4 linked regions of the Notamacropus eugenii genome follow. The protein of the gene in region 4 purifies or fractionates together with the protein of the main gene of each other region. This does not show direct contact. Links are inferred from orthologs where the notes say so. Each region holds a gene or a part of one and is shown on either strand. Other genes may lie near its edges.

What was found.
Region 1: the proteins of TNS2 (region 4) and DMD purify together in Homo sapiens (affinity purification with mass spectrometry; 3 studies listed by BioGRID and IntAct, with this or other methods). This does not show direct contact. The link is inferred for Notamacropus eugenii from reciprocal best matches to the Homo sapiens genes TNS2 and DMD.
Region 2: the proteins of TNS2 (region 4) and utrophin-like purify together in Homo sapiens (affinity purification with mass spectrometry; 4 studies listed by BioGRID and IntAct, with this or other methods). This does not show direct contact. The link is inferred for Notamacropus eugenii from reciprocal best matches to the Homo sapiens genes TNS2 and UTRN.
Region 3: the proteins of TNS2 (region 4) and SNTB2 purify together in Homo sapiens (affinity purification with mass spectrometry; 4 studies listed by BioGRID and IntAct, with this or other methods). This does not show direct contact. The link is inferred for Notamacropus eugenii from reciprocal best matches to the Homo sapiens genes TNS2 and SNTB2.

What each region holds. Positions count from the first base shown.
Region 1 is NC_092876.1:441,925,498-441,933,733, reverse strand, and holds the start of DMD (dystrophin), read right to left. Parts: upstream 3,042-8,236; 5' UTR 2,950-3,041; coding exon 2,919-2,949; intron 1-2,918. UniProt on the Homo sapiens protein: Anchors the extracellular matrix to the cytoskeleton via F-actin. Ligand for dystroglycan.
Region 2 is NC_092873.1:232,659,723-232,667,588, reverse strand, and holds the start of utrophin-like, read right to left. Parts: upstream 3,407-7,866; 5' UTR 1-3,406.
Region 3 is NC_092872.1:708,564,793-708,573,179, forward strand, and holds the start of SNTB2 (beta-2-syntrophin), read left to right. Parts: upstream 1-5,119; 5' UTR 5,120-5,130; coding exon 5,131-5,788; intron 5,789-8,387. UniProt on the Homo sapiens protein: Adapter protein that binds to and probably organizes the subcellular localization of a variety of membrane proteins. May link various receptors to the actin cytoskeleton and the dystrophin glycoprotein complex.
Region 4 is NC_092874.1:225,880,932-225,889,080, reverse strand, and holds the start of TNS2 (tensin-2), read right to left. Parts: upstream 3,473-8,149; 5' UTR 3,386-3,472; coding exon 3,239-3,385; intron 3,100-3,238; exon of another isoform or gene 2,961-3,099; coding exon of another isoform or gene 2,892-2,960; intron 170-2,891; exon of another isoform or gene 85-169; coding exon of another isoform or gene 79-84; intron 1-78. UniProt on the Homo sapiens protein: Tyrosine-protein phosphatase which regulates cell motility, proliferation and muscle-response to insulin. Phosphatase activity is mediated by binding to phosphatidylinositol-3,4,5-triphosphate (PtdIns(3,4,5)P3) via the SH2 domain.

The sequences.
Region 1 (8,236 bases), on a different chromosome or scaffold from region 4:
CTTAATGAATGTGTACTTTAGTACGACTTAGATAATAGGGAACGATTAAACATGAGAGTCTATAAACCTCTTTCCCCACAAGAATACACTTTAATGAGTAGGTATGCTTTAGGTCAGCTAGGTGGTGCAGAGGATAGAATGCTGGCTGAAGTCAGGAAGACTCATCATCCTGAGTTCAAATCTGACCTCAGATACTGATTAGCTGTCTGATTCTGGGCAAGTCACTTAACCCTGTTTGCCTCAGTTTCTTCATCTGTAAAGTGAACTGGAGAAGGAAATGGCAAACAATTCCCAATATCTTTGCGAAAAAAAAGCACAAATATGGTCACAAAGAGTAGGACATGACAGAAGAACAGATTTACATACCATAAATATGCTGTTTTAATTCCATTTTGTTCTCCTAAAACTATCATGTTTCTCTCCCTTTCTTTTTTTCCATGTCTCTCTCTGTCTGTCTTTATGTATGTATGAGTGTGTGTGTATAAACATACATATTCATGGATGATATATATACACAATTTACAAAATCATATATGTAAAATAAACCTGAACTCTATATACATGTTAAAATTATTACACGTATGTAGGTAAATAGAATCTATGGTACATGATGAGAGTGACCATCATCTTGCATTCAAAGCTTGTCAGATTATAAATTTAGGAAAATAAATTACAAAAGCACGCTATACAGCAGATTAAATTGGATGTGAATTTTACTGACAGTAAGTAGCCTGCCTATAACTTCCAAAATATAATGTTGAAAAACTATGACTCTGTATTCTATCTCTCATCCTGTATTCAAAAGATGATCAACATTGAGATTCAAGGCAGTAATACTTTTTTATAGAAAATAACCTTTTATAAATATCCTTTTTTTATTTATTCTATGAATCTCCAATATTATTATCACCATTAAATAGTGCATCCACTAAGGCACTGAACTGTGAGATAAAATGTTAAGACACCTTTCTTGCTTTTCCTAGTGAACACAGTCTTTAAAATTTAAATAGAGTATTGATACTAGTCTTCACAGGAGTAAGAACAAGATAATATTTATAGCCACATTAAGGAGCCTTGGACTTGGAGTTAAAAGACCTGAGTTCAAATCCTCCCTCTGCCAAATACAGTGTGTCTTTAAGCAAGTCACATAATTTCTCCAGGTCCAGTTTCCTCATCCATAATATGATAGAATTGGATTATATAACCTTTAAAGCCCCTTCCTGCTCTAAATCACTTTATCACAGTCTTAGATTTAGTAGGGACCATTCAACCAAATTTGTACCTACCAAGGTTTTTCATACAACATACCTAAAAAGTGGTCATTCATAACATATCTGAAGAATTCTAATGAGGGAGAACTTCTTACCTCTAACCAGAGCTCATTCTACTTTTGGATAGTCTAAATGTTAGGATTTTTTTTCTTTTTCTTTTATATTCTAATAACTATGTATTCACATTTCACAATTTTATCGATCTTATCAGAGATTATAAGTTGCCACAAATGATTATACATGCCTATAAGCTATATCTTACTTTTGACAAACATTTATAAATTAATTTATTTTCATTTTTCCTCTAACTACTCTTTTAATTTAAGATCATCTCTTACAGAGAATTGATATGTTATCAAAGATTAAGTATCATGATGTATGTAATATATGCAAACATATACATTATTTAAAATTAATTTAACTCAGAGAATTTTTTTAATGGGAATGCAACCCTGGTGATTTCCAACACTACATAGAATAATAAAAGGAAGTAATGAAGTGTATACATTCCAAAACCAGGAGCTACCAATATAAAATCATTAATTCCTTCGCGCAAAGTTTTCTCAGCAACATTTTTCTTCTTTTCCTGAAACTGATGAACAGTTATTGAAATTACTGGGTTATTTCCCCTCTCCTAAATACAGTTTCAGTCCTTGAATCTATTTGAGAGTGGCGATAATCTTAGATCTATAAGAGTTAAGAAACAAGTAAAACAACCACACACATCTCTTAGGTAATCAAGTCAACCCATCTCTTTGGAACAGATTGTCCTCACAATACATCATTTTTATTTGCTTATTGCAATAAAAATTTAAAATACCTAGGGAGCCATGATCTGCTTCAAAATAAAGATGCTAAAGAGTTGGTCTTGGAATAGTGGCAAACCAAAAGTATCTGAGTGAAAACAGCTTAGTCATCACAGATATAAAAGATGAACAGTATTTTAAGCTAACTTTACTACTAAGCATAGTTAAAATTCCCAAAAGTTTTAAGATATTTCCTCAGTTCAGAAGGCATTCTTTCATACTCTAGGACAATTCATACATGAGTACTACCTAGAACTGAAAATAGAAGACAGCCTCTTAAAATGAAGAATAATAAGATATCCTGGAATATAAGAGAAAGAAGGCTGGATAAATCTTTCCATTCTGTCCTAATCTATCTCAACTCACTATACTTATTAAAACATACATAGTTTTATCCCAGACCCTTCCCTCTCCCTTTTGAAAGGTAGTTTATTAGTTCTTACATTAGCTGGGAATATTACAGATAACTGTCACACATAAAAAACACTAACACATTTACATATATGTATATACCAATAAACATAGACAACCATGGAATTTAACTTATGGGAGCAAAACTTCTGATATAAATATTAATACCTTACTACTTCTACTTTTAACACAAAAGTATTTAAGATCATTCTGAATACTGGTAATTATTGTCCAGTAAGACTGGAAAAAAAGTTTTCCTAATTCAGTATATTTACCTATAAGTAACTACTTGTATATTCATTATTGTACACAATACATGAGCATTTATATTACCTATTTTATTTTCTTAAGCTGAAATTCTTATAATATTTGACATTTAAAGTTATATGAGAAACACAAAAATCATAAAACTATTTTAGTCTATACTTACAACAGTCTTCTGCTTCTTCATACCAAATCATTTGGACAAAAATAAAATATCAAGGCAACAGGGAATATCTTAATGAAAATGTCCTCAGCTTTATTACTCCAGTAGGTTTTTTAGAGTTAGGCGAGTCAGTAAAAATGAGAAGCCAAAGTAACCTTCCAAAAAAAAAAAATAAATAAAGCCCTCTCTGTTTTCTTTGAAGTTTATCTCTAAAGTTCACTGCTTCTAAGGTCTGAATCTTGTAAGGGGAGAATGAGTGAGCCTAACTCCCAAAGAGTCAGTCGATGTAGTAACTGATGCCAGGATTCCATAGAGGTCCCTAGATGTTTCAAATTCCAGGACCTGCGCAGAAGCAGGCAGCTGGGCTTCCCTCAAAACAAGTTGGTTTCCCATAATAGGACTGCCCATGAACTCTACATATAAGGCTGTGCTTCCAGGATGGCATGTACTGTATAACAAATTCAAAAGATGACCAACAGCTTCCTGATTAGCAATGAAGCTAAAATAGTAAAGTAGCTAGAGTACTGCTCTCTGTGCCTCTTAAATACACAAAGACTGTCGTGAAAAGTCCTAACAATAATTTCTAAGTATCTTCCCAAAATTCATAGAATTTTCTCATTCTTATCAATGCCAAATTTTCAAAAGCTTCTTCTCTTTTTCAATTCAAATGCACTTGCAGTTTTTTTTTCTTTTTTCTGACTGACATGCAAATGCATGCCTGGAATGATTTGTGCATGAATTATGTATCCAGAAACTACAAATATTAATTTACTTCCCTTGGGATCCAATCAAAAATCATAAATTGATGATGCAAACAATTCAGAGTTGAGTCTAAGTAGGAGAAAGTTGCAGTAGAGAGCTGTAGTGAAAATATGTCTCCCAGGGAGCGTTATTCATTTAAATGAAAGAATATAAACTTTTTTGGGGAAACCCATTAAAGTTTCAGGTTAAACTAAAACTTCTTTCCTAATCATGTACTCTTTCTTAAATTTATTCACTGACAACAAGAAAAAATGCCATTCTGTTTGACATTCAAATAAACAGGTTGAGCACAAGGGAAAAATATTTCAGTGTAGAACTGGAATAATTGTGCTTTGATTTACACAATAGATGTTGCCAGCAAATCATAGAAGGTTAGAGTTGAAGGGGTCTTTCGAGAAGATTTAGTAAAGTATCCTCATTTTACAAATAAGGAAATTGAAGCTCATGGAGGGTAATGGTGTGTTGAATATCATGTCCTTAACAGTGGATTGGGTCCTGAATCTGAAGACGTCTGCCTTCCACTCCCATATTCTGTTCACCAAATTGATAACCAAGTATTAACTTTGTGGGGCAGCTAGTTGGTGCAATAGATAGAACACTGGTCCAGGAGTCGGGAAGACTCAACTCCCTGATTTTAAATCTGGTCTCAGGTTCACCAGCTGTATGACCCTGAACAAGTCACTTAACTCTATCCCAGTTTCCTCATCTGTAAAATGAGTTGAAGAAGGAAATGGTAAACCACTCCAGTATCTTTGCCAAGAAAACTCATAAATGGGGTCACAAAGAATCAGACAACTGAAATTACTGAAAAATAACAAAATTAACTCTGTGTGGGGGGGAAAGGGGTTGTATTGGTGGATGGGGGTGATAGGAGAGATAAATAGACTAGTTTTTAATGCAATAAGGTAACCCAGTATTAAAAATCCTGTGGTGTCCCCTTACCCTTTAGGAGTAAAATTCATTTGAAATGCCTATTAATACAATTTAAGTCTGGGAGGACTTTTAAGGAGGGATTAAAATCTGAGCTGGTGGTAGAAGTATGTACATTGCTGAAATCAAGGACACTATCCACATCTCAAAATTTGTAAGATCAGAATCTCAATGTTGTTTCTTTGGTACTTACTTCCTAGTAATTTTACATAAATTTACTTGGAAAAGGCAAGGAAAACTGTCCCAGTGCAAAAATAATAATGAAAACAATTTTGATCTATGGTAATGACTTGTAGATTATACCTTCAAGAAACAGTGAATCAAATAAAAATTCTATTATTAAAATGTAAAGACACTCTTTATTAAGAATACTTGGCATACATCAGCTTGAAGGGTGTATGTGTGTGTGTGTGTGTGTGTGTGTGTGTATGTGTGTGTGTGTGTGAAGACTGATTAGACCATCCTAAAAAGCAAATTGAAGGGGGAAAAAAGACTTAAAAGGACACATCAAATGTCAAAATTGCTTAGAAGATGTTTTAATGTCATGTGTTAAGGGGTTGTGTTGTCCACACATTGCAACTCCTGTGTGTGTCTGGGACTAGTAACTGATGATTACCAACAACTGGGAGAAAGAAAAATACTACTTATAAACAAGGTTCCCAAAGATTCATTGAGCAATTTTAAGCTTAAAAAAAAAGATTTCAAAGCTTACTTAGACTTTTGGGACATCCCTGAATGAGGGATATTCAATAAGAGGGAGGAAAATCTGTATTACTAAGAAAAAAAGCATCAGATGATTTACAATATTAAATGAGTAGTTTAGAAAGAGGAAAAAAAGATGTGATTGAACAAAATTGTGACTAAAGGAGAAAGGTTTTTTAACCACTAATTATGTCTTTTTTTATTACGTACCTTCACAGAATAATCACTAATTAATTTGTCAAACACTTTATAGAAGAGAAAATGAAATATGAATTGTTATAATTTAAAATGCACATGCTTTACTGTTGCTAATAAGTATTCTTACAATAGATGTAATACTTCCATTTCACACTAAATGGACTGGCTGTGCCTACCGTTAGGTAGGTATGGGTTGGCAGTGAGGAGAAAGGAAAAGTCTGAGCAACATTATATATTCTACCTCTAAGATTCTAAAGGGCACTAAACAAGATCTCTGTCCCAGAGAATATGTGTTCCAGGCCTATGGATCAATATATCAAACAGAAAATAGGTCCCTGCATTCAGCCCTCTAAATATATCGAAGAAACACTAAAAGGTCCTCTGAGACCTGACATAAACTGTATGTCCACATACAAGTGGCTCTCGATGTGCCAATAACTTCAGATTTAAAAGACTTGAACTCCATATTTATTTAACATAGACTAATGTTGCATATTGTGATTCTCTGGCCTTCATCCTTGGTTAGTATTTATTCAGTCCATCAATAAGAATTTATGAAATGCTCACTATATGTTATGTGCCAGTGATATAAAGAAAAAGTTCAGATAGTTCTTGTCCTCAGGACACTTACATTCCTCCTCAATTTCCCTTGGGATCTTTTTGGTACTAACATCCCTAATGTAAAAACTTGATATGTTAGATGCTAAGTGAAAGGAGTAGAACCAGGAGAAATTTGTACACAGCAACAACCACAGTGTGAGAGGAATTTTTCTGGTAGACTTAGCCCTTCACAGCTACGCAAGAACCTAAAAAATTCCCAATGGACTCTTGAGGCAAAATGCCTGCCACACCCTGAGGAAGAACTATAGAATTGGATTGCAGAATGAAGCAGACTATTTTCTCTTGTGTTATGTTTTGTTTTGTTTTTTTTCATGGTTTCTCCCATTCATTTTAATTCTTCTATGCAACTTGACTAAGGAGAAAATATATTTAATAGGAATGTATGTGTAGAACCTATATAACTGTATGTCATCTCAGGGAGGGAGTGGGAAGGGAGGGGGGAAAGTGGAGTTGGGAGGGGGAAAAATCTAAGATATATTGAAGTGATTATAGAATACTGAAAACAAAATAATTTAATAATAAAAAACTTAAAAGTCAATAAAACATAATATTTTGAGAGAAAAAATAAAATAAAACTTGATATGTTAAAAAAAAAAAAACAACTTAAATCAGACCAAGAAGACTAGAGCTATATAGCAATCTCCTTTTGCCCTGAGAACCACAAACAGAGCAGGCCGGGGTTATAAGGAAGGTATTTGTTTTTTGTTTTGATTTTTTTAAGCTACCAAGGTTAAATGACTTGCCCCTGGCCACAAAGCTAGTAATTATCTGAGGTCACATTTGAACTCAGGTCCTCCTGATTCGAGGTCTAGTGCTGTATCCACTGTGCCACCAAGCTTTTCCAGGAACAAGATTGTTTTGTAAAAATATTTTCTAAAAATTCTTCCAAAATGCTACTATTAACTCATTAACAAATATCATATACATATCATCCTATTGTCCCTTGCTTCTTTGATGAGCTTACAAATTCATCAAGAAAATAAGTAAAATGAAATGAGATGTAGGACTGCCTGGGAAGAGAAATAGAAGAACTGGTGACATTTACCTGCGTCCTACCATTGGAAGAGATATTCCAAGTTCCAAATGGCACATGAAAAAACTAATGGCTATTAAATTACATTGTCATTAAGCGCTAAATTGGGTGGAACAAACCATAAGTTTTGAAGAAACTCAGATAAGGGGTTCATTCATTCAACAGATATGTAATATGAATTTTCTACTTCTAGAAAGGAACTAAAAGAGACACTGAGAGAGTCACAAAGATAAATAAGACTTCATAGAAACACTGAATGTCAGAATTGGAGAGAACTCCTAGGGTTTCAAGTCTAGCTCAAAGCAGAAGAATACACAGGTCATTTAGCCACACTTGGTTAAAGGGCTCAATTGAGAGGCAACCTATTACCTCTCAAAGATGCCTGTTCTCCTTTGGGATAGAATGAGACCTTTGGTGTGAATGACCATGTGCAGCACATTGAGACAAGGAATACTATAATCTGATCTGGAAGATAAAACATGTGAACAACTAAATCTAATAGAAAGAAAATGAATTAAGTGAGATATAAAGTTCTGTAGGAGTTCAAAGGACTAAGAGAGCAACTCATATCAATATGGCTTGAAGAAGTTTTCTATGATGGGCTTGGAATAATCTTTATTGGATTGACAGGATTTATGCAAGGAATGTATGAGAGTGGAGACATTACAACAGCTAAGAGATGGAATAGGTTAAGAAGAAAATAACAGGATCTAAGGCAAAGACATAGACTCTGGAGAACAATGAGAAACTATGTGAAAAAACCTACTAATTTAAAATCCTGAAGACCTGAGTTTGAATTCTAGTTCTCTCATTGATATGCTGAATAACCTTGGCCAAATCATTCCTCATGGAATGTAAGGTCACAGAGGGTGGGAAATATTTGATGTTTTTCTTGGTTCTCCTAAGACTTAGCACAGTGTCCAGTACTAGTAGGCTCATAATAAAAATAATAATAGTTGGCATTTATATAGGACCTACCATGTGCCAGACACTCTGCCATGTCTGCCATGTCAATACAAATTTTATTTCATTTGATCCTTACAATAACCTTGGGAGGGAGGTGATAGTATTATTA
Region 2 (7,866 bases), on a different chromosome or scaffold from region 4:
ACAACATACTGGGCTGAACACTACAAACCTTTTACCTATAGGCTTATTTTGCCTTTTAAAAAAGTTTTATTGGTGTATTTTGGCTTTGTATCATAAACATCTACAGTTAAGATCTCCTCCCAACCTGTGAAAGGTCTCTCATAACAAAGAAAAACAGTTAAGAAAAGCTAATAATAAAATGACCTCACCTAAAAGGACATGCAACATTCTACCACCGTAGCAAACATCCCTCAACTCTCTATTTAAAAAAAATTATTTTAACCCATTTACTCTCCCGCACACACTCTCACCATGGGCAGGGGGAGAGGGGGGATGGAGAGGAGGCAAAAAAAGAAACTCATTCTAACAAATATTCACAGTGATGTATTTTGCTAAATGACCCTAAATCCATCACCTTCCTGTCATGGAGAACATGTTTATTTGATCATCAGTCCTCGGAAATCATGAATGGTGATTGTGTTAATCATCTTTCTTACAGATTTCTTACATAGGAGTTTACAATTTAACACAAATAGTATAGACTCAAAAATAATAAGGGAAAAGACAAATGAGCCAATTCATAATTTAAATGAACAAGTATTTAAGCATGTGTGGAAAGTCAAGGGTATCTACTGCGCATGATGAATTAATAGAGAAGGCAACTTGGGAGTTGCACACCAGAGTAAATTACAACCTTTCTTCCAGGTAAATAGAGAAAGTTTCATGAGGAATAACATTAAGAGAAAACAATTACACCACAAAAATCTAAACACATAGGTGATCGCAGAGCCTCTCCTACAGAGAAAGGAGAACTGGCAGTCATCAGCTGGTACTGTTTCCCTCAGAAAGATATTCTCACCCTGAGGCCAGAAGTGCCAAATTTTCAAGAGAAAAGGGCCTCTGGGATCATCTTGTTCAAGCTTTATCTGAAGAGACTCTCAACTATGCCACATCCAACAAACAGTTAACTAAATTTTTACTAAAGACTTGTAGTCAACAGAATATTTGTTTTTGCAGAAAAATTTGGAGACAGTGGTAACTTTTCCCCTATCATATACAGAATTGGTAGGAGCAAGGGGTAGTATTCATTCCACCCAAATGAAAATGAAGGTAATGTCTTAGTTAACACAGCCATGTATCCTTCTCTTCTGGTATAAAGACTTATACAAGCTGCCAATTCCTAGTTTAATTATAGGACTTCATGGACCAAGATAAATTTTTTAGTTCTTTTTCTGTTCTTTTTTAGTTCTGATATCTAGTTTCCCAGAAACAGTAATAGAAAAATGATACTCCAACATCCTCACTCCATTCTCACCCCCCCAAAAAAAAAAATTTCAGGAGTATGCATCATGGCATTCCCCAGGCAGAAAAAGTCAAGAGTATCCAAGGAGTCTATTACCAATCCAGAAATGGCAGCAACGTCTCCAAGTCTATGGTGACTAATGACATTCCTCCACCAAAAGAAGCAGCTGTATATGGGTGCCAGTCATTGGCAAGGAAGCTAGGATCTGATCTCAGTGGAATTCACAAGGGAAAGTCTGCAACAGCAGCTGAGATGCTACTTAAGCCAGATCCCCCTGTCACTACCAATTCACCAGTGCAACTCTTTATGGGGGAGAAATGGAAGAGGTTTAGTCAGTCAATAAGCACGTATTTATGCACTTGCTATGTGCCAGTGCAAGGGGCTCAATAGTATGTATTTGTGGAAACTCAGTCTCTTCTCTACCCCACCCCTACCGCCGCAAAATTTAATTTAAAACTACATAGACGCATATTCAATGCTACAGGTATGAAGAAAAGGGGCAACAAAGAATTCTAATTTGGATGAGCTTAAACTTCAAAGATTTGCCATCATACCCAAGGGAGGCAAATACAGTCTACCTGGTGGGTTTGGTTAAGCACACCAACCCGAGGACCACTCATGCCACCCACATGATCACCAGATGGCTCTCTGCCCACAGAACTAGATGATTTAATTAAATGATTCCAAGTTCAGCTCTCCAATGCACACTTCCTGGGCTCCAGATACCATCTCTTCTATGAAAGCTTCTGACTCCCTGTCCCCATATCTCACATGCTGCTGATACTATCTTCCATTTCTCAAGTATTTCTACACCACTGTATTTAATCCCTCACTACCTTCAATCCCTATCAATCAATCATTTAACAAGTGTCTATATTTGCAAAGCATTATGTTAGGCTCTTTGGATACAAAGACAAAGATGAAGCAACTTAAGTAACATTCTACCAAAAGAAACAGCATGTACATATATGAATACATACAAAGTAAGGATTAGAAAAGCACACAACCTGTGTACAGAGCAAATCCCCACACATATATACACACTCCCAGGTAAAATGTTCATTCAGTTCCTTAAAGGCAGACTCTATTTTTGCTTTTTTATTCCCCAAACCTAGCATAATTGAAATGACATAGGTGTTAATACTACATAGCTAAGGAGAAAAGTTCTGTATAAAATAGGTGTGTGTTTGTGTCACTTTTACATAAACCATAACTGACATTATTCAAATTCCCATGTAAATATGAAGACTGGAGAGGGTCTTTCAAGAGACCACATGGCCTGAAGGAGGTGGGTTAACAATACATTTTTTGAAATATATGCTAGGAGGACACAGAAATATGAGAGGAAACGTAAGGCTTCTGCTCTGGAAACTTGGGTTCAGAGGTCATTAAGAAGATCCAGAAGTGCAAGAAAAAGAAAAAGGCAAAAAAACCAAGTCTGAGTCATCATGAGGCAGGGTAACTGGGAGTAAAGTAAAGAAGTGGTTTCCCAGTCTTAGATTTGCTGCTCATTCCCTCACTAATTGTTATAACCACGGGCAGGTCTGGGTCTTAGCTTCCTCACCCCCAAAATGAAGAAATTAGAATAGATATTCCCTAAATTATCTTCCAGCCCTAAAATTCGGAGTCTATCCAAAGTATTGGGTTTACTTCTTGATGATAAGTGAGTTTGCCTGAAGGACACACATGTCAAGCTTACAGAATGGACTTATGCTTCAAGTTATATGAATAGACTAGAAGTCTAGACCCCCTTCAAAACCTAAAATTCTATGGGATATCCTCAGAGTTCTATTGGTCCTTTGAGGTCACATAAACACAGTGATGTCTTGCAACCAACAATCAGCTATCAAATTACTGAATTTTCAGTGTATTTAAATCTTGGAAATTGGCAAACACTACAAATTAGGGATTGATTTATTGTTTTGCTAATTATTCAGACTTACAAAAGGGATAGAGAAAATGTTAATGATGAAGATTAAACTAATAAGTGAAAAGCATGTGTATATATGTGTTAAATATATGTGTGTGTATATATATGTTATATATAGTATATATATCTCTAGCAATCTGGTTGCTAAACATTTATTAACACACCCATGAATATATACCATTGCAGGCAATGTAGTGACAGCTGAAGAGCATTAAGTCACCTTCGAAAATACATAACTGATCTCCACCCTACAAGATCTACAAGAATAGTGATATTTTTAAAATATATATATATATATGTATATATATATATTAATACTGCCTGATACTGGAAGAATCCTTTATATTACTTAAGGTTCTTTCACATTTATTATCTCATTTGATCCTTAGAATATCCCCATAGGTGAGTAGAAGAGTTATTACAAATTTTATTTGACAGGGCAGCAATCAGAAGCAAGAAGAGGTGTGACTTATTTCTGATCACCTCCTCCTTCAACCCAACCTGGTATCCCTTCCATTGCACCCCACTCACTGTTTTGTGCATTATTCATTAACATACTTTGGAAATTCTCAATACATCAATAGAGTCATGGGCCATAAATTCATAAAAAGGAGTAAGATGAATGACAAACACACTACTAAAGCCTAAAATACAAATGGCTTACACAGCCTCTCCTTCCACTAAGAAGGATGACTTCCAAGAAACATTCATCATCTGATGCTTCTCTGAGTAGAATTTCCTCTCCCTGGGTTCAGAATGACTGAACTTCAAGAAGTGAAAGAGTTAAGAGAGTTGACCTATAGGAGGCTGTACTATCCAAACTATAGCTGAACAAGACTTCCTCCCCAGCCTCCCCTTACAGCACAGTCAACAAGTGATTATCCAACCTTTGCTTGAAGACCTCTAGAGCTGGAAGGTGGTTTGGCGATCAAGTCTGACCTCTCCAGTTTTTACAGATGAGAAACTGAGGCTCAGAAAGTTAAGGCTTGAATGACTTGCTCAAAGTCATTCAGGTACTGAAAATAATAGAGCTAGGATTCCAATTCAGGTCCCACGAATCCAAGGTCAATGCTCATGTCATTGTACCACACTGCCTTCCTATTGCTACTTTGATTGGATCAAGAAATTAAGGTACAAAATCAGTTTTGCAGAATCCTAAGTCGGAAACAGCATCCCAAATTCTAATGTTAAATTACTTGGACTAAAAGATAGCTCCAAGAAATTAAGAACATTTTTCTAAAAGTAAACTGTATTATGTAACATTTCCTCCCTCCCCCTTCCCCCTCTCTTTCTCTCACAGGAGCACCCAATGTCCAAATGCAAAAGAGGAAATGCATGTTCCTCAACAGCAATGTTTCAGATATCAGGTAGCAACAGCTGTTGAATCCCACCCATCCCTCTTCCCCCCACCCCCCTCCATTCTGGCAGAGACATAGAATCAAACTGCCAATTCAAGGCTTGGCCTCTTAAATGACCTCAGACTCCAGTTTCCCAGCAACAGCACGTTAAGTGCTCTAGGACTGGCTTGTCCCCTCAAACCTCTAAAATCATGACCTTCATTGAAGTTGTCCTTTCTTTTGAGTTATTAATCTGCTCATCCTCTACACCGGAAAGAGTAAAAATATGGGGGAGGAAAAGGAAGTGAATGAGAGTTACTTGGGCTATGGATTTCATGCAGCAAGAACAGCCCACAACAGGTGCAGCATTCAAATGAAATTAAGACTCTCAAAATAAAGTCATTAACATTAAGCATCAGTGCACAAAGAAACAGGGAGCCAGACATCATTAGGCAATGATGCAAGAGCTGGCTGGTATTACTATACTCTTCACCGGCAGAAGTTCCATACAGTTTTCCAAAACATTTAACAAAATGTCACCAGGCTCATACAACTTCTTTTCCATACTCCACCCCCAAAATGGGGGTAAAAAGCTTAAGATAACTGAAATACTGGACACAGTTGATATTTTTTTTGGTAATTTGACATTCCCTAGCCTATTAGATAGATACTGTCTCTACTAATACAGATCATGAATGCTCCACATACTCTCCATCTGTGAAATTCTTGCCCATAATCCCTTCATCAAAGAACTAACCAGAATACTGGAGGCTTTCCTCATCTTCTTTTATCTCATCATGCCCTCCCATGCAGACACCAATATAGCAGTTGGCCAATCACTGTTTTCTTTCATTCTCCCTACGTGGCCAATACCAAGTATCTAGGATTTACAGTACATATTACTGAGGGTGATGGACAAGGGAATTGAAGAAGTGGGGAGAAGAGAGGAGAAGAGAGCTTGTATGAAGGGAATGAGCTTTAGACTTGAGCAATTCAAAATCACTGACCATTTTTCTAAATGCATTGGAGTCTAATTTCCGCACTCCTCAATTCTGAGGGCAGTTCAAGGTTCACCTAGAATATCCATCCAAAATAAAGATGTTTACAGCTCAACCTGTGCCACTGGTCACAATAGGGGCAATATATTGTTTTTTAATCTCCTGTGCTGTCTTTCCCACCCACGGATAGACACTCAGACCAGTCTCTCATTGCTGAAGATGTACAGCACCTGCCTATAATTAATACCTTGTGATCTTTGCATGAGAGCATCTGATAACCTCAGCATCAAAAAGGGATTTTATTAATGTTGCTTAGACTTTGTATGTAGGGAATCCCCTGGGATATTGCTACACATCTACAGTGATAATATAACCCTCTGTTTTATGCCTCATGTCAAGAGATCTTGACTTTAAGTTATCTACATAGTTATATGTGTCAATTATATAATTTTAACAAATGCATTGTTTCCCATCTTGTTCTAATGAGTCAATTTTTTACTAAAAAAATAAAATATATAGCTTATCTGGGCTTGCTAGAGCTATCAAGGGAGCAACTGTAAAAATACAGATTGCTATAAGAATTCATTAATAAATCTTTCATGTTATCACCAAATTATCACCAAAGAGCATTCACAGACCATTCTTATTTTAAAAATAAATTTAGGAAAATGAAAAGGCAGATAGTCTATGGGTTGGTAAATAGTAACAGAATTTTTTCATATTTTTTTTAAATTTATTAAAATAGATGCATTTTTTTTCTAGTCTTTTGGAATAACTACCTCTTCACTATGTAGCACTAGTGGTTCTATTGTTGTCAACACTGAGAACAAATCACTTTATAAACAGTAGCAGATCTGTTCCATTTCATGTCAATTTGTTATTCTCCTTTCAATTCCATCTATATATGGTCATGGAATAATTTGACTTAAATTTGCCATGACTCACTTTCCTCTTTTTGCAGTTTTGTGAAGCAATATTCCTCAAAGTATTCTGTCCTCCTCCTCTTTAATCCTTTTTGTTAATGTTTTAATTTCTTTTTTCTTATAGCAACTTAATTTCGGAATTTATCCTTCCTCTTATATGTAAAACATCCCAGAATATAAAAAAAAAATTTAAAAAGGTTGTCAGAAAAAGCAATTCAGGAAAACCAATCAACACATCAATGCTGTCTAATTGCATATTCAATAGTCCACATATTCAATAGTTCACCATCTCTACAAAAGAAGCTTTCCATCACATTTTTCAAGTAAACGCTGCCATTGGGTGCCATTACCATATCACCTAGCAAGGCCCTTTTAGCCTCCTCACTATGGTAACTGTTTGACATATGCGAAACTTTTCTAAGAATGTATTAGAGATAACGTTCACTTATATTAATTTCCTTTCCCCCTCCATTCCCAAAGGCAGATACTTGTATAAAAACAGAATAGCAAAAAACTAGAAACTATGTGGGCACCTACTATTTGGAAGATGGCAAACAAATAGCTTATGGTTTATATGAACTGGAATATTATTACCACATATATTTACAGTAGATCACTTTCTCATAGCAAAGACTGGAAAGAAGGTATCCATCAACTGGGGAAGACTGAAGAAATTATAATATATGTATACATACATGGCATTATGGCATATAAACATGATAGAATTCTACTGTATTATATGAACTTGTCTGAATTGATTTTAAGCAAAACAAAATCATTTTCTACAATAATAATACAGTAAGGCAGTTTTCTGATGAAGTAATTAAAGCTAAAGCTATTTCTAGCCATATAAAAAATGCTTTGAATCAGTATTAATTAGAGAAATGTAAATTAAAACAACTCAGAAGCACCATGTCACAAATTGTCTATCAGACTGGCTAACATGACAAAGGAGGAAAATGATAAATGCTGGAGATGTGGGAAAATTGGAACTTCATTGCATTGCTGGTGGAGTAGCGAAATGATCCAACTAAAACTAAAAATAAATAAATGTTTGAAAAATAATAGCACTGTAAAAACAAGCAGCTTTAGAAAACTGAAGAACCATGATCAAGGCCATAACCAACAATTACTCCAGATGACTGTTGTAGAACTGTTATCCACTCTTCTGACAGAGAGCTGATAGACTCAAAATGCAAAATGAGACATAGATTTTTAGGTATGACATCTCTGAATATTTGTTTTCATTGACTATGCTTATTTATGACAAGTATTGTATTTATTTTTCTTTCTTTGGAGGACTGGGGAAATTTGGTGGGAAACTGGTAAAATAAAATAGGATTACTGGATAATTTTTTTAATTGTACACACAGAAAAACAGAAGGAATTTCAAAAG
Region 3 (8,387 bases), on a different chromosome or scaffold from region 4:
GTACCATGAGTCTGTGGTGGGATGAGCTTGCCCAAAGGGTGAAGCAGGAAGAGTGGAGCAGAACTGAGAGGAAGCTGGTCACAGCAGTTAGAGCTGAGGGAGAGAGAGGAAGCAGGCAGCAAGATGTGAGTTGTTCATTTGTGGGAAAGTCCTAGCAGGGGGAAGGCTTGGGGATAGTAGTGCCCCTTGTATTATTGTGTATAGATTTCTTTGTTGCTATGATGGATTTGGCTTTCTACTGTCTGTTATATTTTGCAATTCAGAATTATGCCAGCATATTCACAGCCCCCATAGATGCTATGAATATTTCCTTGGCTCTACACCCTTCTCACAAAGACCAGAGTGAAGGAGGGGCAGCTACCTCTACATCTCTCTTGATGGAGTCAGTCAAGACAGGCATAACTTGTGCACTCCCTTAAATCCCCGCAAGCCTCAGTGGGGGCCTGTTGAGGCAAATACAGATTCCCCACTTACTGATCAGTGCCCACCTGCTTTATAGGGCAACAGACAAAGAAGGCATATTGCTGACAACAGCCTCACAATTTTACATTATATCTCATTGTGCAGTTGCAGTGGGTATTTTCAGTTTTAAGCACAAATGTCTATATTATTTATCATTATGTAACGCTGCACAAGTGTGGTGGAGATGTTTACCTTGAGACACTGAGTGCAAAGCATGAGCCTGGGAAATAGAGATTTTGTCCATGGATCCTGAGGAACTGAACTCTAAGAAGAATAACAAAAATCCACCTTACACACGCTAAAGTCCACCTTACTTACTCTGTGTGACCCTGGGCAAGTTACTTAACCCTGTTTGCCTCAGTTTCCTCAACTGAAAAATGGGGATTATAACAGAACCTACCTCCCAGGGGTGTTGTGAGGAGCAAATGAGATATTTGTAAAATACTTAGCACAGTGCCTGGCACATAACAGACACTTTATAAATTCTAGCTATTGTCCTCATTATTGTTAATACTATTACTTCTAGGTTACTTACTCTCTGAACCTCAGTGTCCTATTCTGTAAAATTGGGATAATAATACTACCTACTCACAAGTTTGTACCAGTAACAGTATGTTGTCTTATATGAATGATATTTATTATTCTTATATTATTAAAGATAAAAAATTCCCTCAGGAATTTTCAGTTCACCTGAGGATCTCTGATGGGTATAGAGATGAGCAAAATACCAAGTGAGATGCATGGTTATACAATAAAAAAAAAAAATCAGTATTATGGTAAATAACCCATTAGATTCCCAAGGGGAGATTTAAACAAAAGGTACTGGAACAATTTAGTCAATAGTCAATAAACATTTTTTTAAACTATGTGCCAAGCACTGGGGATACAAATTAAAAAAAAAAAACCGTTCCAGTCCCTTAAGGGCATAACAGTCTAAAGGTAGAAAACATGCAAAATGAATCTGAAAAGTTGAGAGATGGTGAAATGGAAAAGCCAGAAATCCTGAAGTCATGCAGCCAGGTGGAAAATGAGACATGTATGTCCTAAGCAGAAGGTAGTGATGGGATGTGAATATCAAGGTTGATATGATCTTGCAGAATGATGAATCTTCCCAATGATGAGGTCCCTGAGGCATGGTAGAAAGTCAGAGAAATCCTAGCTGAGTGCAGCCAGATGAGAAATGAGATTCCAATTTGAGTAGAAACACAAGCTGGGGTAATCAGCAAAGCTAATAAATGACAACTGTGAAATAAGTGATAGAGACAAGAAGTGAATGCTCATTGACGGCATTGACTGATGGGCTCTTCCTTTGTCTTCTCTTCAACCTGCTAGGTGATTCCTAAATGTTCCTAGAATTCAATGTTCTTGGCGGTCAGAGGAAAGATGGATTTCAGCTGGGGCTAGCTGTTATAATGTTGGAAAAACCCATTAGCCTCCCAGCTGAAGCCTGAATTCTTGTGCTAATTCTCACACCAACTCCAATAAGACTTTTATAGTCCTCCTGGAAGAGGAAGTGGAGGACTCATTTTCCAAGTGATATAACTTAGATTTAAGGTCCTTTCAAGTTCTACCAGTCCAGGTCAGTTAATGGATTCAGTAGAATTTAAACCAAACCTTTAAGGTTGGATAGAATTTCTAGGGACACAAGAGGAAGACAAATATTTTGGAAGGGACTCGGAGGCAGAGAATAGTAAAGGCATATTTAAAGGGACAATGAATAAACCAGTTTAGCAGGTTCATTTAAGGAAATGGTGGGTAGAATAGGCCGAAAGGGAAGGCTGGGTTCAAATTAGGAAGGATATTGAGTGCAAAGCTAAAGTGTTTGCTGATATGGCAAAACTTCAAAACTAAAACTTCATGGGGAAGTCTACCAGAGATTTTTTAAAAAGAGAAGAAGCATCCCATACCATCCAAATTCTAACATTTTTCCCTCTACATCTCAATTTTATATAATTTGCCCTTCTGATCATCAAATTACTTTGTAGTTATCCTAATGGGCCTGGTACGTGCGTGCGTGCGTGCGTACGTGCATGTTGTATGTGTGTGTTTCCAGGCTGTGCAGGACGACAGGGCATATCTGGACCTGTTGCAGATCCAGGAGGTCTCTTTGCAGTGGATTTAGGGGGAGGTCTGCTTTTTTTAGCTTTGATGAAATTTACAACTTGGAAAATCCTGCCTTATTGCAAAACAAATCCTATTTTAATGATTTTTAGTAAGGTCGGAATTATATCTTAATGGGATTGATAAATCTCTGACTAGATTTTTAAAAAAACTAACTCTAAGACTTTGAGAAGGAGGTAAGAGGTATACAGGATAGAGCACTGGATCTGGAATCAGGGATACCTGAGTTAAAATCTGGCCTCAGACATTTAACAGTAATATGACAGTGGGCAAGTCACTTAACCTTTGTTTGCCTTAGTTTCCTCAACAACAAAATGGGGATAATCATAGCACCTACCTCTCTGGGTTACTGTGAAGATCAAATGAGAGTATTTGTAAAGTGCTTAGCAAAGCACATCATAGGTGCTTAATAAATGCTTATTGGGCTTATTTCCCATCCTCCTCCCTCTGAGACTGTTTGGATTCAGTCTCTACCCTCTACCATCATGAGGATGAAGACTTGTTGTTAGAAGTGACCACATGCATTTCAAATTCTAACTCCAACTCACTTTAGATATGTGATCCCCATATGGTCATTTAGCCTTTCTGAACTCATTTATCTAGAAAACTCATATCTAGAAATATTTTTATAAGTAAATACATTCATTTATCTATGAAATGAAGATAGTAACCTGAAGCATCTACCTTATAGATGTTATAAGGGTCAAATAAGAAATGTATCCTTGGTAAAAGGGAACTGGATTTGTGAGTTAATTGGTTTGGGGAATTCCCAGGTGTGGAAATTCCCTCTACCAAAGCAAGTTTTCTGCAATTTAACTGTCTTTGAAAGTTGCGTAGAGCACTGAATGATTAAATGAGGAGTAGGGGGGAGGGTTATGGTCTGTATGCTTCAGAAGTAGCACTTGAATTCAGGTCCTCTTGGTTTTGAGGGCAGTCTTGTATCCACTAGAGCATGCTTTCCCTACAAATATCAAGTATTATTCATTCAAAACACATTCTATCTGTAAGGCACTGTGTTTAGGTGCTAGACTCAAAAGACAAAATAAAAAAACCTACCCTTGAGGAACTTAATGGGGATTTATGAGGGGCGTTGGAGTTATGAAGATGTTAGGTTCACATTTGCTCTCTTAAAGTCTGTGAAACCCTGGTCATATCATTGAGTCCCTGTTCTTCTGACAACTCTACTTAATTCTACTTAAGTCCCTGGAGGGTTCCGTATTGGTGGAGGGAATTCAGACCCCTGGAGTTCCCTAAGCAGACAAAAAAAGTCACAGAATCTTCCATCTTCCAAGAGCACATGGATCCTTTGGAGTTTACAGGTGTCAGCATGTACTTTATGGACAGGCTCCATGAACAGAGCCTGTTTTGATCTCAATTCAGCTTTACAAGAATTATTTATTGAGCCCTTAGGATCTGTGGGAAATGTGTGAACCTCCTCTCTGGTGCTGGAGGCCACTCTGACAATCCGGCTGCTGACAATTCTTTTGTAGACCAAACCCTTTGAGCTGTTTGAGCTCAGAAAGAAGCTGCTGGACGTGGGGCCCATGCAACCCAATTTCACAGGCTAATAAAGAAATTACCAGAAGGAATTTTAATTTTCCCCAGTTGCATTTATTAAGACATCTGGCAGAAACAGATCAAATTTTTTTGTGGTTGAGGGCTAAGGAGACAGCTAGAGCCCAAAGCAGTTATTCTGTTTCCATAAAGAATAGCAGAACCCTGAATCTGGAGTCTGGAACGCTGGCTTCAGAATGTTCTAAGTGGTGCCCTGGGTGCAGCTTGGCTTCCCCTTCTGTTACTGCAGGGGTCAAAACAAAGTCTCTGCCAGCTCTGCTCTGACACTCTCAATTCTAAGGTCCCTCTCAGTCCTGACATTCTGTGTTCTGAGGGTTGGTTCAGCTCTGGGCTCTATTTTCTAAGGCCCCTCCCAGCTCTAACATTCCATGTTCTCAGTTCCCTCCCAGCCCTGACATTCTGTGTTCTATCTAAGCTTCCTTCCTGGGTCTGACAGTCCATGCTCTAAGTAAGTTCCCTTCCAGCCCTAAGCTCCCTTCCTGGGTCTGACAGTCCATGCTCTAAGTAAGTTCCCTTCCAGCCCTAAGCTCCCTTCCTGGGTCTGACAGTCCATGCTCTAAGTAAGTTCCCTTCCAGCCCTAAGCTCCCTTCCTGGGTCTGACAGTCCATGCTCTACGTTCCCTTCCAGCCCTGGTGTTCTGTGTTCTATCTAAGCTCCCTTCCTGGGTCTGACAGTCCATGCTCTACGTTCCCTTCCAGCCCTGGTGTTCTGTGTTCTATCTAAGCTCCCTTCCTGGGTCTGACAGTCCATGCTCTACGTTCCCTCCCAGCCCTGGCGTTCTGTGTTCTAAGCCATCCCGGCCGGACTTTCTCGGCTCGAAGAGCCCTCCCAGCAGTGACCTTGTGCTGGGAGATCCCGGCACCTTAAGCTCCCCCCGGGCTGGCCAGAACCAGTCTCTCCCCCTCCTTCCCGGAAGCGGCCCCGCCCCCGCGGTAAACGGAGGAGTGGGCGGGGCCTCTCATGAATAATACATGGTCGGGCCCGGGGGCGGGGCCTCGCCCCCGCAGGCGGGAAGGGGGAAGCGCCGGGACTCCCGGCTGGGAAGGAACCTGGCCTCGGCGGTGGCGGCGGCGGCTGTGGCGGCGGCGGGACCCGGGCCGGCCATGGCGGTGTGGACCAGGGCCACCAAAGCGGGGCTGGTGGAGCTGCTGCTGCGGGAGCGCTGGGTGCGGGTGGTGGCCGAGCTGAGCGGCGAGAGCCTGAGCCTGACCGGGGACGCGGCGGCCGAGACGGACCCTCCGCTGGGGCCGGTGCTGGCCGCCTTCAACGGCCTCCCCAACGGCGGGGGCGGCGGGGACTCCCTGCCCGGCAGCCCGAGCCGCGGCCTGGGCCCGCCCAGCCCTCCCGGGGCCACGGCAGCGGCCGCGGCCGGGGGCTCCCCGCCCGTGCGGCGCGTGCGGGTGGTGAAGCAGGAGGCGGGCGGCCTGGGCATCAGCATCAAGGGCGGCCGCGAGAACCGGATGCCCATCCTCATCTCCAAGATCTTCCCCGGGCTGGCGGCCGACCAGAGCCGGGCGCTGCGGCTGGGCGACGCCATCCTGTCGGTGAACGGCACCGACCTGCGCCAGGCCACCCATGACCAGGCCGTGCAGGCGCTGAAGCGGGCCGGCAAGGAGGTGCTGCTGGAGGGTGAGCGGGGCCGGGCTGGGGCGAAGAGAGCGGACCGGGGGTGCTGCTGGAGCGGGGGCCCGGGGGAGGCGAGCGCGGGACGGGACGGGGGGAGAGTGCTGAAAAAGGAGGTGCTGCTGAAGAGGGGGACCGGGGGTGCTGCTGGAGCGGGGGCCCGGGGGAGGCGGGGACAGGACGGGGGGAGCCGTGCTGAAAAAGGAGGTGCTGCTAGAGGGTGGGGGCCGGGGGAGGCGAGCGCGGGACGGGACGGGGGGAGAGTGCTGAAAAAGGAGGTGCTGCTGAAGAGGGGGGCCGGGGGTGCTGCTGGAGGGTGGGGGCCGGGGGAGGCGGGGACGGGACGGGGGCAGCCGTGCTGAAAAAGGAGGTGCTGCTGGAGGGTGAGCGGGGCCGGGCTGGGGCGAAGAGAGCGGACCGGGGGTGCTGCTGGAGCGGGGGCCCGGGGGAGGCGGGGACGGGACGGGGGGAGCCGCGCTGAAAAAGGAGGTGCTGCTAGAGGGTGGGGGCCGGGGGAGGCGAGCGCGGGACGGGACGGGGGGAGAGTGCTGAAAAAGGAGGTGCTGCTGAAGAGGGGGGCCGGGGGTGCTGCTGGAGGGTGGGGGCCGGGGGAGGCGGGGACGGGACGGGGGCAGCCGTTCTGAAAAAGGAGGTGCTGCTGGAGGGTGAGCGGGGCCGGGCTGGGGCGAAGAGAGCGGACCGGGGGTGCTGCTGGAGCGGGGGCCCGGGGAGGCGAGCGCGGGACGGGACGGGGGGAGCCGCGCTGCTAAAGGAGGTGCTGCTGAAGAGGGGGGCCGGGGGTGCTGCTGGAGGGTGGGGGCCGGGGGAGGCGGGGACGGGACGGGGGCAGCCGTGCTGAAAAAGGAGGTGCTGCTGGAGGGTGAGCGGGGCCGGGCTGGGGCGAAGAGAGCGGACCGGGGGTGCTGCTGGAGCGGGGGCCCGGGGAGGCGAGCGCGGGACGGGACGGGGGGAGAGTGCTGAAAAAAGAGGTGCTGCTGAAGAGGGGGACCGGGGGTGCTGCTGGAGGGTGGGGGCCAGGGGAGGCGAGCACGGGGTAGGACGGGCGTGGGGGGGAGCCCTGCTGAAAAAGGAGGTGCTGTTGGAGAGAGGGGACCAGGGGTGCTGCTGGAGGGTGCGGGCCAAGGTTGGCAAGCACAGAACGGGGGGAATCGTGCTCTAAAAGGAGGTGCTGCTGGAGAGGGGGCACGGGGTGGGGGTGGGGGGTGAACACGGGCTTTGGAGAAGGACTAGGGGAAGCCGCGCTGCCAAGGTCCTGCAGGACAGTGAGTGGGGGGACTGGAGGGAGCCGACGGCCGAGCAGCGCGTGGCTTCGACCAGCTCTGCCTACAATGTCCAGGACTTGGTTTTGCTCGTCTCCCCTGGAACTCACGCACCCTTTCTTCCTAGTAAAGTAGGTTTCTGGTCACCAGCTTGGCATTTTGGAAAACCCTGATGACTCTAGTTGGAAAAGTTCAGCCACAGCCGAAATGCTTTATAGCCCTGAAAATTCAGATTTATTTGGGGCAAGATGGGAACTTCTAAGTGTTTCCATGGGATACTTTTTCATTATTTGTTAAGGCTTGGCATTCTCCCCTGTATGACACCTTTTGGATTTAACTGGAGAAGTACAAGACCGCCGCCGCCTTCTTTTCTTACTTCTCTCTTCCCTAGATGGGTTTTTAAAAAATGCACGTCTGCTGTAGATTTGGGCATACCACCAAAATGCTGATTAATTTATGGGAATTTAACTCATCATTGACTCTCAACAATAACCCAACTAGATCTTAGCGTTTCCTTGAAAGGTACGAGACTGAAAAGGCAAGTTTGTTTAGTTAATGAGCCTTACTTTACAATGAAGGCACACTGAACTTGAAGGTTATTGCCAAGATAAGAGTTTTGCCCCTTTTGTTTAGTTTACGAAAGTCTGGTGCCAGTCTCAGGCTTGATTTTTTAAAAGACTTTTAAAACTAGAAACTTCAGGTAGAAAAACGAAATACAATAGTAGACTGGAAAGTTCAAAATTATACTTTATTAACTGTACTTATTACTTATGACAGGCTGCTTATACTAGTGGATAGAGAGCTGGCCCCCCAAACCTGGAAAACCTGAGTTCAAATCTAACCTTTGACACAGAGACTCTGACCCTGAGCAATGTGACTTAACTTCTTGGTGCTCCAGGCACCTCTTTTAAGACAGGAAAATTGCCAAGAAGGTGCTGACCGACTCTAGTAGAGGAAGTTAGTCACAATGAAATCACATATGTCTTATCCTTATTATTTACATACGTTGATTATTAATTTATATTTGATCCACAGTGTCATATAAACATAGTGTTGATGTAATGAAATGATTGTAGTAGACTGCATAAAAGTTGTGAAAGTAAGGCTAAGAAGTTCAAAATGAGTCAGCAGTACAACATTGTATGTGGCTTACTATATCAAGGGAAGTGTAGCGTCCAGAAGTGGGAGTCTGACTATCCTGTTCTGCTCAGATGTCATTTAGAGTATTGTGATACTCCGGGTACCACATTTTAGGAAAGACCATATTTGTTGACAAACCAGAGAGGAACCAGAGGAATGCCCCCAGTAAGGTCAGGGATCTTGAG
Region 4 (8,149 bases):
CCTTTTTTCACCACTCCTTTCAGCCTCCAGCCCTCTCCTATTCCTCCCCATCAAGCGCACCCCGTTCCCTCTTGTCACCTTCATGGCTTCCCTCTGAATCGCTCCCCTCTCTTCACCCAGCTCAGCTCCAAAGCCCAGGAGGACAGGACAGGAGCCTCTCCCCCTCCTTTTCACCCTCCCCTTCTCTCCCCTCACTACCACAGGCCTCCGGCCTCCTGGGAATTCAGCCAGCTTCCTGTCTCAGGAATGGGGTGGAGGTGGGGGGCAGAAAGGGGGAATGGAAGAAACCCCAAGTTTGTCCTTGAATACGAGGGGTTCAAGACCTGGATTTCCAGGATTAACTATTGCGTTGCCCTAACCCCAACCTGAAACCTTTGAACTCCCAAGACCTGAGCAATCATTACTCAGAAAGAATGTGTCACCCCCTCCCTCATTTGCATCTAGTTTGCATGGTATTTACTGTAGGTCAGCATCTGCCCAAGTCCTCCTTGACTGCCTCCGTCCTACCTCAGATTCTCCCAGTCCCTGCCCCCTTTCCCTTGAAATTCCTCACCCCATCCCTTCCACCATAGCTGTCCCCAAACTTTATGTGGGCGAGGTATTGAATTTGTGTACAGAATGCTATAGACTGGAAAAGACCTTAGGGTCTGTTTAGTTTACTAAACTGTAAACACCAAGGAGGCCGATACCTTGACTTATCTAAACTGTCTCCTCCAGCAGTTAACAGTGTTCTTGTCTCAGTAGACGCTTAGTAAATCTTTGCTGAATTAAACTGAATTATCGAAGTATCTATTCTATTCTAACTCCCTCGTTTTACAGATGAGGAAAGTCTAGAAAGGGGGAAAGGGTTTGCTTGCCCCATGTGAACCCCTTGTTTCCCCGTTGGACTGGCCCGTCCTTCAGGATCCTGGTCCTGAGCTCTATTTCTTTCTTACCCATGCCACTCCTGACTAGCTCTCCCCCTCTGTTCCTGAGTAGACCACTAGGATATTAACCTCAGGGGGTTAGGGAACCTCTACAAAAAATTGCGCTCCTTCATATTTACTTCCTAACTGAATTGAGAGAGGGGGTTGAGTGCTGCTGCTAAATCGAATCAGTGCCCTAACGCCTCTTACTTCAGGGAGCATCTGCTCAGCTACCGATGGCCCTTCCAGACAGGATGTCGGGCAGAAACAGGGAATTTAGACTAAGGACTGAACATCCAAGGAGGCTAGTTTCTCAGCCCTGAAATTTGAAAGGGCAGGCGCTGGATTTTGGCCCCCCCCTCCCCCCACCTCCACCACTAAGTCTGGCCAGGTTTCAGGACATTCCAGACATTGTATCAATGTGGGAAGTAGGACCCTGGCATGATATTGTATCCTAGGGAGAGACTGGCACCAAGAAGCCTGAGTGGCAGGTGATTTTTTTTCTTTCTAGCTCCTCTCCTCTTCCCTTAGTTGAATCTCTCCTTTTCCCTTGGTCAGCCCCTAAAACCTTGGACTGTACCTGTGGGGCCCTCCCCTGTTTGTCTTTAACTTCCCTTCTGGAATGCCATCCTCCTGTTAAGGGGTCTTACTTTCACCTCCCTGGCACTGGCTCATGGCAGCCTGTAGCTAAAACCTTCCAATATCCCTCCCCTTGAATCTCTGTAGGTCTGGCAACACTAACTCTTCTTCTACCTTAACCATCTATGCTGACGGTTAGAAATGGAGGGAGAAAATTCTTCTGGGTCAGGCCTCAGTTTCCTCCTTGTTTTCTGGGCTGGTAGGGGCGTGAAAAGAGAGGCCCTACATTATAGAAGTGATTGGAGATCATCAAGGTACCCTGATTAGCATCTGCAGAGGAAAAGACGAGTGGGGCAGGAAGGAGAGAAATCTCATTTCCCTGCCATATTGTATGGTGTGGGCACCTAAGGGTTAAGGTAGGAAGAAGTTGGAATATTAGCCCCCCAGCCGGTATGCAGCTCAGTTCTCAGCTGGACTTCTGCTCTCCCACTGCTCCCCCCCCCCCCCAACCATCCTTGCTGGCCACATTCCAGTGTCTGCCTGCCTCCTCCCTCCCCTGCCTTGGCCCCCTCATATGCTGGGCCAGGAAGTCTTTGGTTTGTTTGGAGAAGCCCCCTCCACCCCTTACTCCCCCCTCCTGGAAATAGCTGTGGTTGGATACAGAGGCTGGAAGCCCAGGCCTGGCTAGAGGGGAGGGGGAAAGGGTGAAAGGTCCAAGGAAAGAGGGAAGGAATCAGGTCTTAATTAGGATGGGGGGGGATCTTGAGTGGGAGCAGAAGAGAAACCAGATAACCGGGGATGGGGAATAAATGAGGGGACTGGGGGAACTGGCGGGGTTTGGGGAGCTGTGCCAGAAGAAGGCTGGGGATGTGTAATTTCAGTCCTGCCTCAGTTTCCACAAACACGAAGGGGAGGGGGAAGGAAGCCCTACCCACCCTCCAGGACGTGTCTACGTCTCGGGCCCAGGGTAACTTTCCTCCCGCCGGACTGCCGGTGCCGCCGGGTGTGTCCGCGGGGCATACTTGCCTCCAGGTAGCACTTAGGGGCTGCCAGTCTGGGGAGGGCCGCTACCTCAGTGCACTGAAGGGTGCGGCTTGGCAGCGCGAAGGTGCGCTGGTGGGTGGGCGTACCTGTGCCCGGAGGGGGTGTGTGCGTGTGCCAGTGGTGCGTACGTGAGTCCGAGGGCCCGCAAGCCCTGCCTCCTAAGGCCGGAGGTGGCACCAACTTTCCGAGCTGTGGGCTGCTATAGGTGGGGGCGGATGGGGGCTGCCCCCCCGGCCGGGCTCCAAAGCGGGGTCCCCCTCCCCCCAGCCCCCTCCGAGGGGCTCGCCCAGGGCACCGCCCTCCTCCCCTCCCCTCCTCCGGCTCGGCCCGCGGCCGGCCGTGACGCAGCCACCGCCCACTCACCTTGGGGGGCCGTCCTGCGGGGCGGGAGCGCGGGGGGCAGCAGCAGGGGGAGCCCCCAGCCCAGCCCATGCCGCCGGCGGGGCGGAGAGCGGGGGGCGGAGGGAGGAGGGGCCCGCCACCGCAGCACCCCCCCGGCCGGGCGCCTCCAGTGCAGCTCCGCTGGCCCCCCGGCTGCCCGGTCCCCGCTCGCTGCGATGCCCGGCCCGGCTGGGCTGGGCTGGGCTGCCCTCCTTCGCTCCCTCTTCCCTCCCTCCCTCCTTCCCTCCCTTGCTCCCTCCTTCCCTCGCTCCGGCTCCAATCCCACTTCTCGCCCCGCTCCCCGCCCCCTAGTCCTCTCTTCTCCCCACCTTCTCCCGAAGACTGAGCGAGACCCAGGCAGGAGAGGAGAGGGACGGGGAGAGCCCCGAGACCCTGCCGGGGCCCCTCTGGGGAGCAGGAGAGTGGGGGCTCCCTGGGCTGGCGCCAAGGGCGGGGGCGTGGGGGACCACGGCCATCGGATCCGGGGGTCCCTCTGGTCACCCCCTTCCCCCGGCCCACCCGAGGACGCTCCCAGGCCCCGTCGGTGCTCTTGGGCCTGGGGTCAGGCCTGGACGGCCTCTGGCTTCCTGTTTCCCAGCAGTGGGACACACACTTCTCCTCCCTCTTTCCCAGCCGGGGCTGGCACACACCCAGAGCCGATAAACAGGACGGATCAGCAGCCCTCCTGTCCTAGTTAGTGACGTCCGGCCTGGGGCTGTGACCCCTCCAGCTTAACATACCCTGGGCACTTAGCGTCAGTGCCCAGTCTGTGCTGAAAACTGTGCTAGGCCCTAGGGGAGATTCGACATTTTAAAATACCTGCTCCCTGCCCACAGGGAGCTTGTGCCTAAGAGGTGGGCAAAGTATCTTGACTTTATGGAGAGGTCTACATTTGAGTTGGCCCTTAAAGAATGGGTAGGTGCCAATAAACATATCCCTGCAAGGGAGTCAAAAGACAGAATATACCAAAATATTCACAGCAGTACTGCTTGGAGGAGCAAATAACTGGAAACATATAGGGTCCCACAGACTGAGGAATGACTGGTAAAAAGATGGATGGACAAAGATGACAGGAGAGGGAAATTACAAATGTGGAGGGCCCTGGGACAGCAGAGACGCTAGGAATATGGACTGGCACAGCTATTCTGGAAAGCAGTATGGAACTATGTCCCCAAGTTACTACATCATAAATATACCCCATATCTCACAGTGGTACTAATACTAGGTCTATGATTCCCAAAGAGAGATGAGGACCTATACATTCAAAAATATCGACAGCTGCTCTTTTGTGTGCGAGACCCAAAGTGGACATTAAGAGGATGTCATCCTGTCCGGGGCTTGGCTAGACAAATTGTGACATATGAATGTAATGGAACATTACTGCGCCATAAGAAATGACCAAAAGGGCAGCTTCAGAGGAAATTGGAGAGACTTGTATGAACCCATGCAGTCAAGTGAGCAAAACCAGAGAAATTTGTACAAGAACAGCGACACAGAAAAAAGGAAAACTCTGAAAGGCTTTAGCAATCTAATCAATGCAGTGATGGACCATAAATCCAAACAAGTGAAGAGGAAACACGGCATCTCCTGAGAGAGAGGTGATGAACTCAAAGAAAAATATAGTTCTGGACATGACCATTCAATGGGAACATTTGTTTCGCTGGATTAGGCATCTAAGTATGAGGGACTTGATTTTTTTTTTTCTGGGATGGACAGATTAAATAAAAGATTTTTAAAAAAATTATATGAATGTAATGGAATCATATTATGCTGTAAGAAATGACAAATAAAATGTAGGTCCTAAATTGACACTGACTTCAGTGGCTTCAATTATTACTTCCAGATGACAGACCCTGAGTTTGCCATTTGAACTTTATCACAACTTGGTCCTATCTGACCTTTCCAGTTTTCTTACCCTTGATTCTACATTAAGGAATAAGCATAAAGTGCTAACCAGAGCTGAACTACTTACATTCTAATATAGGAAGATGCCACTATGTGTTTCCTCATAACCCTATTATCATCAGGGGACCATTGAGGGAGTATCATTAAACAAGGCCTGAGAGTGGTTCTTAAAGAGAAGAATGGAAAGAAATGAGATTGGGAGGAGATGATGGGGAAGGGAAAGGAAGGTTAGGGAAAATTAACATAATCAGATTGTGCAAATAGGCACCTATCCAAACAAGAAGGAAGGAGTGGAGGAAGTGACTGACACTTGAACCTTACAGTCATCTGCACTGGTCAAAGGTGAGAAGCGCGCGCGCGCGCACGCACACACACACACACACACACACACACACACACACACACACACACACACACACAGTTGAGTACAGAAATACATTTCACCCAATAGATAAAGGAAGGAAAGAGAAGGGAAAGGGAGGAATTATAGGGAGGGTACATTAAGGGACGGATTAGTCCTAAGCAAAACAAACTCTAAGGATGCATCAAAAAACTATGGTTCTTTTTGCAGTGGCAAAGAATGGGAATCCAAAGGGGTCCCCTAAATTGGGGAATGGAAGAACAAGTGATGGTATATAAATATAATAGGATATTATTGTGCTAGAAGAAATGATGAAGGGAATAGTTTCAGAGAAACTTGGGAAGACTTGTATGAACAGATGCAGAGAAGCAGGAGATTTTATACAATGAAAACAATCCAGCAAAGCCAAACTCTGGAAGATTTAGGTTAGGAACTCTGATCACTTTCATGACCAATCGTTATTCTAGAGGATTAATGATGAAACATTTAACCACTTCCTGATAGAAAGGTGAAGGATTCAGAGTGCAAGACGAGATACATATATTTTCAGGATAAGGAAAAGAAATCTGATTTGCTTGACTATACACACTGGTAACAAGAGTTTTGGTTTTTTTTCATTAAGCAGGGTAGGGGGAAGTATTGGGTTGGGAGGGAGAAAAGGTGGATTTTTGCTGATTGTAAAAAATTAATTTTAAAATGAAATTGAACTTGGAGTAATGCAAAAACTAATGAAGGAGAATAAGGGGGGCTTTTAGAACAGAATATTCTATAAGTTGTCAGTCTCTGTATCAGACCTTTTCCCTTATTTACTTTAGTCATAAGGGAGAGCTTGATATGTATCTAGTGGTTGGGAAAAGATTGGTGGTAAAGGCAGGGCAAAAAGCATTAATAATTTATACATATACATATATGTATATACACACACACATACACATATTTGCACGTATATTCCTATTTGCATATATACATATTCAAATACAGGATGGGTAGGAATTCAACAAGAGGATAAACTAGGTTAGAGACAGAAGAAGGAGAAAGCACCTAGCCTAGGGAATGGTTCAGTTCAGTTGAGGAGAGTACATGAGAGAAGGTGGGAAGGTGGTGCTAGATGGTGGAGAGCCTCGAATGCCAGGCACTGAAGTGTCTTTAAGGTTGACGTGAGCTTGTACCAGCTTTAACTGGCCCTCGATTTTTCTCAGTATTCAGTGTGAACATTTATACCTCAGAAATCAGCAAATGCTATAAACCGGGACTTGTTTCATCGATTTATTATTTTGTTGGCTGTCTAGATTTAAGAAACTGAGAAAATTTTAAGGCAGATTAAACTTAATAGTATGTCTGATGTATTCCCCCCATCCCCAAGTTAAACATTTACCAGCATACCACTGCTTTTAAGTCAAGTCAAATCTTGTTGCTGAAATGAATTGAGTTGTTGCAACTGAGATGAGGAACCAGGAAGAGATCCATCTTTTCCTCTCCTTGGCCAGGATGTTCCCACTCTTCCCTTAGTTTCTCCTCTCATTAGGGAGAATTTATTAAAAGGGCCCAGGGAAGGGACATGCTAAGGAAGAGAACCCAGAGAGGTCATTTCATCTAACTGTCTCTGAACAGGACCATATCCTACCCCATCCCAATCACTGGAGAATCCTATTTTTAAAGACTCCTTCCTAACCTTTGCCCTTTCCTTCCCCCATTCCAAAAAGAGACTCAAATCTCTCACATTCAAGAACTTCTTCATGACTAACTTAATAATCCCTCTTACTTAAGTTTAAACTGTTTGCTAATGATAGTCAACAAACAATTATTAAGCACTTACTATATATACCAGACTGTGCTGCACTTGGGATACAAAGAAAGACAAAAACAGTCCCAGTCCTCCAGGAGCTAATGGGAGACAATATGTAACTAACCAGGTACAAGGCCAGTTGGGTGGTACAGTGGCTAGAGCACCCACCCTGGAGTCAGGAGGACCTGAATTCAAATCTGACCTCAGACACTTACTAGGTGTATGACCTTGGTCAAGTCACTTAATCTGATTGCCTCCAAAAAAACAAACAAAAACAAGTAATTAGGTACACATAAATCATATACAGTGTAAAACTGAAAGATAATCTCAGAGGAAAGGAAGGCTTCAGTAACTGCGGGTGGGGACCCAGGAAGGTTTCCTGCAGAAGATGGGATTTGAATTGAATATTGCAGGACACCAGGGAAGCCAGGAGGTGAGGGAGTGGGAGAGTGGGGTGGGGCATGGGGAGAGGGGAGCCATTTTAGGCAGACAACCCAAAGGCACAGGGTTGTGTGCAAGCAAGGCCAATGTGGCTGGATCCTCACGTAAGTGGAGGTGGAAGGGATCAAGAGAGCATGCTAGGCCTGGGTGGAGAGAGAGGGGAAGATGAGTTGGGTTTTTTGTGGAGAACAGCAAAAACTGGAGTGTGGGGAGTGAAAAGGGCCAGGTTGTGGAGATCGGTAAGTGCCAAACACAGGACTTCATATCTGATCCTGAAGTTTATGTACTGAGTTCATACTCAATAAATGTTGTAGTACATTAAGCATCTGGGTTGAGGATGGATTGGAGAGGGGAGAGGCACTGGGCAGAGAGACAAGTTAGTTAGAAAACTATTGCAATAATCCAGATAAGAGGTAAGGGTCTGTTACTAGGATGGTACATGTGAGACAAACATTTCTAGTACTTAACCCAGTTCTCTCCTATTGCAGGTGTAGCGTCTGATTGCTGACTAGGCCTTCAGGGAGGCAGCTTAGTAGGCACAGTGTGTCTGTGTAGGGAGGGACAGCAGGGATAGTGTGTGTGGGATTTGGGCTATGCCAGTGCCTGTAAGGAATGAGGGCCGTCTTACTCTGACTCCAAGTTCAATGCCCGTCACTGCCTCCCTTATCTGTTGCAGTTTTCCCCACCTTCTAAGATGAAAACAATGGTGAGAATGTGCGTATGGAGAAATGGATCCTCATGGATGAA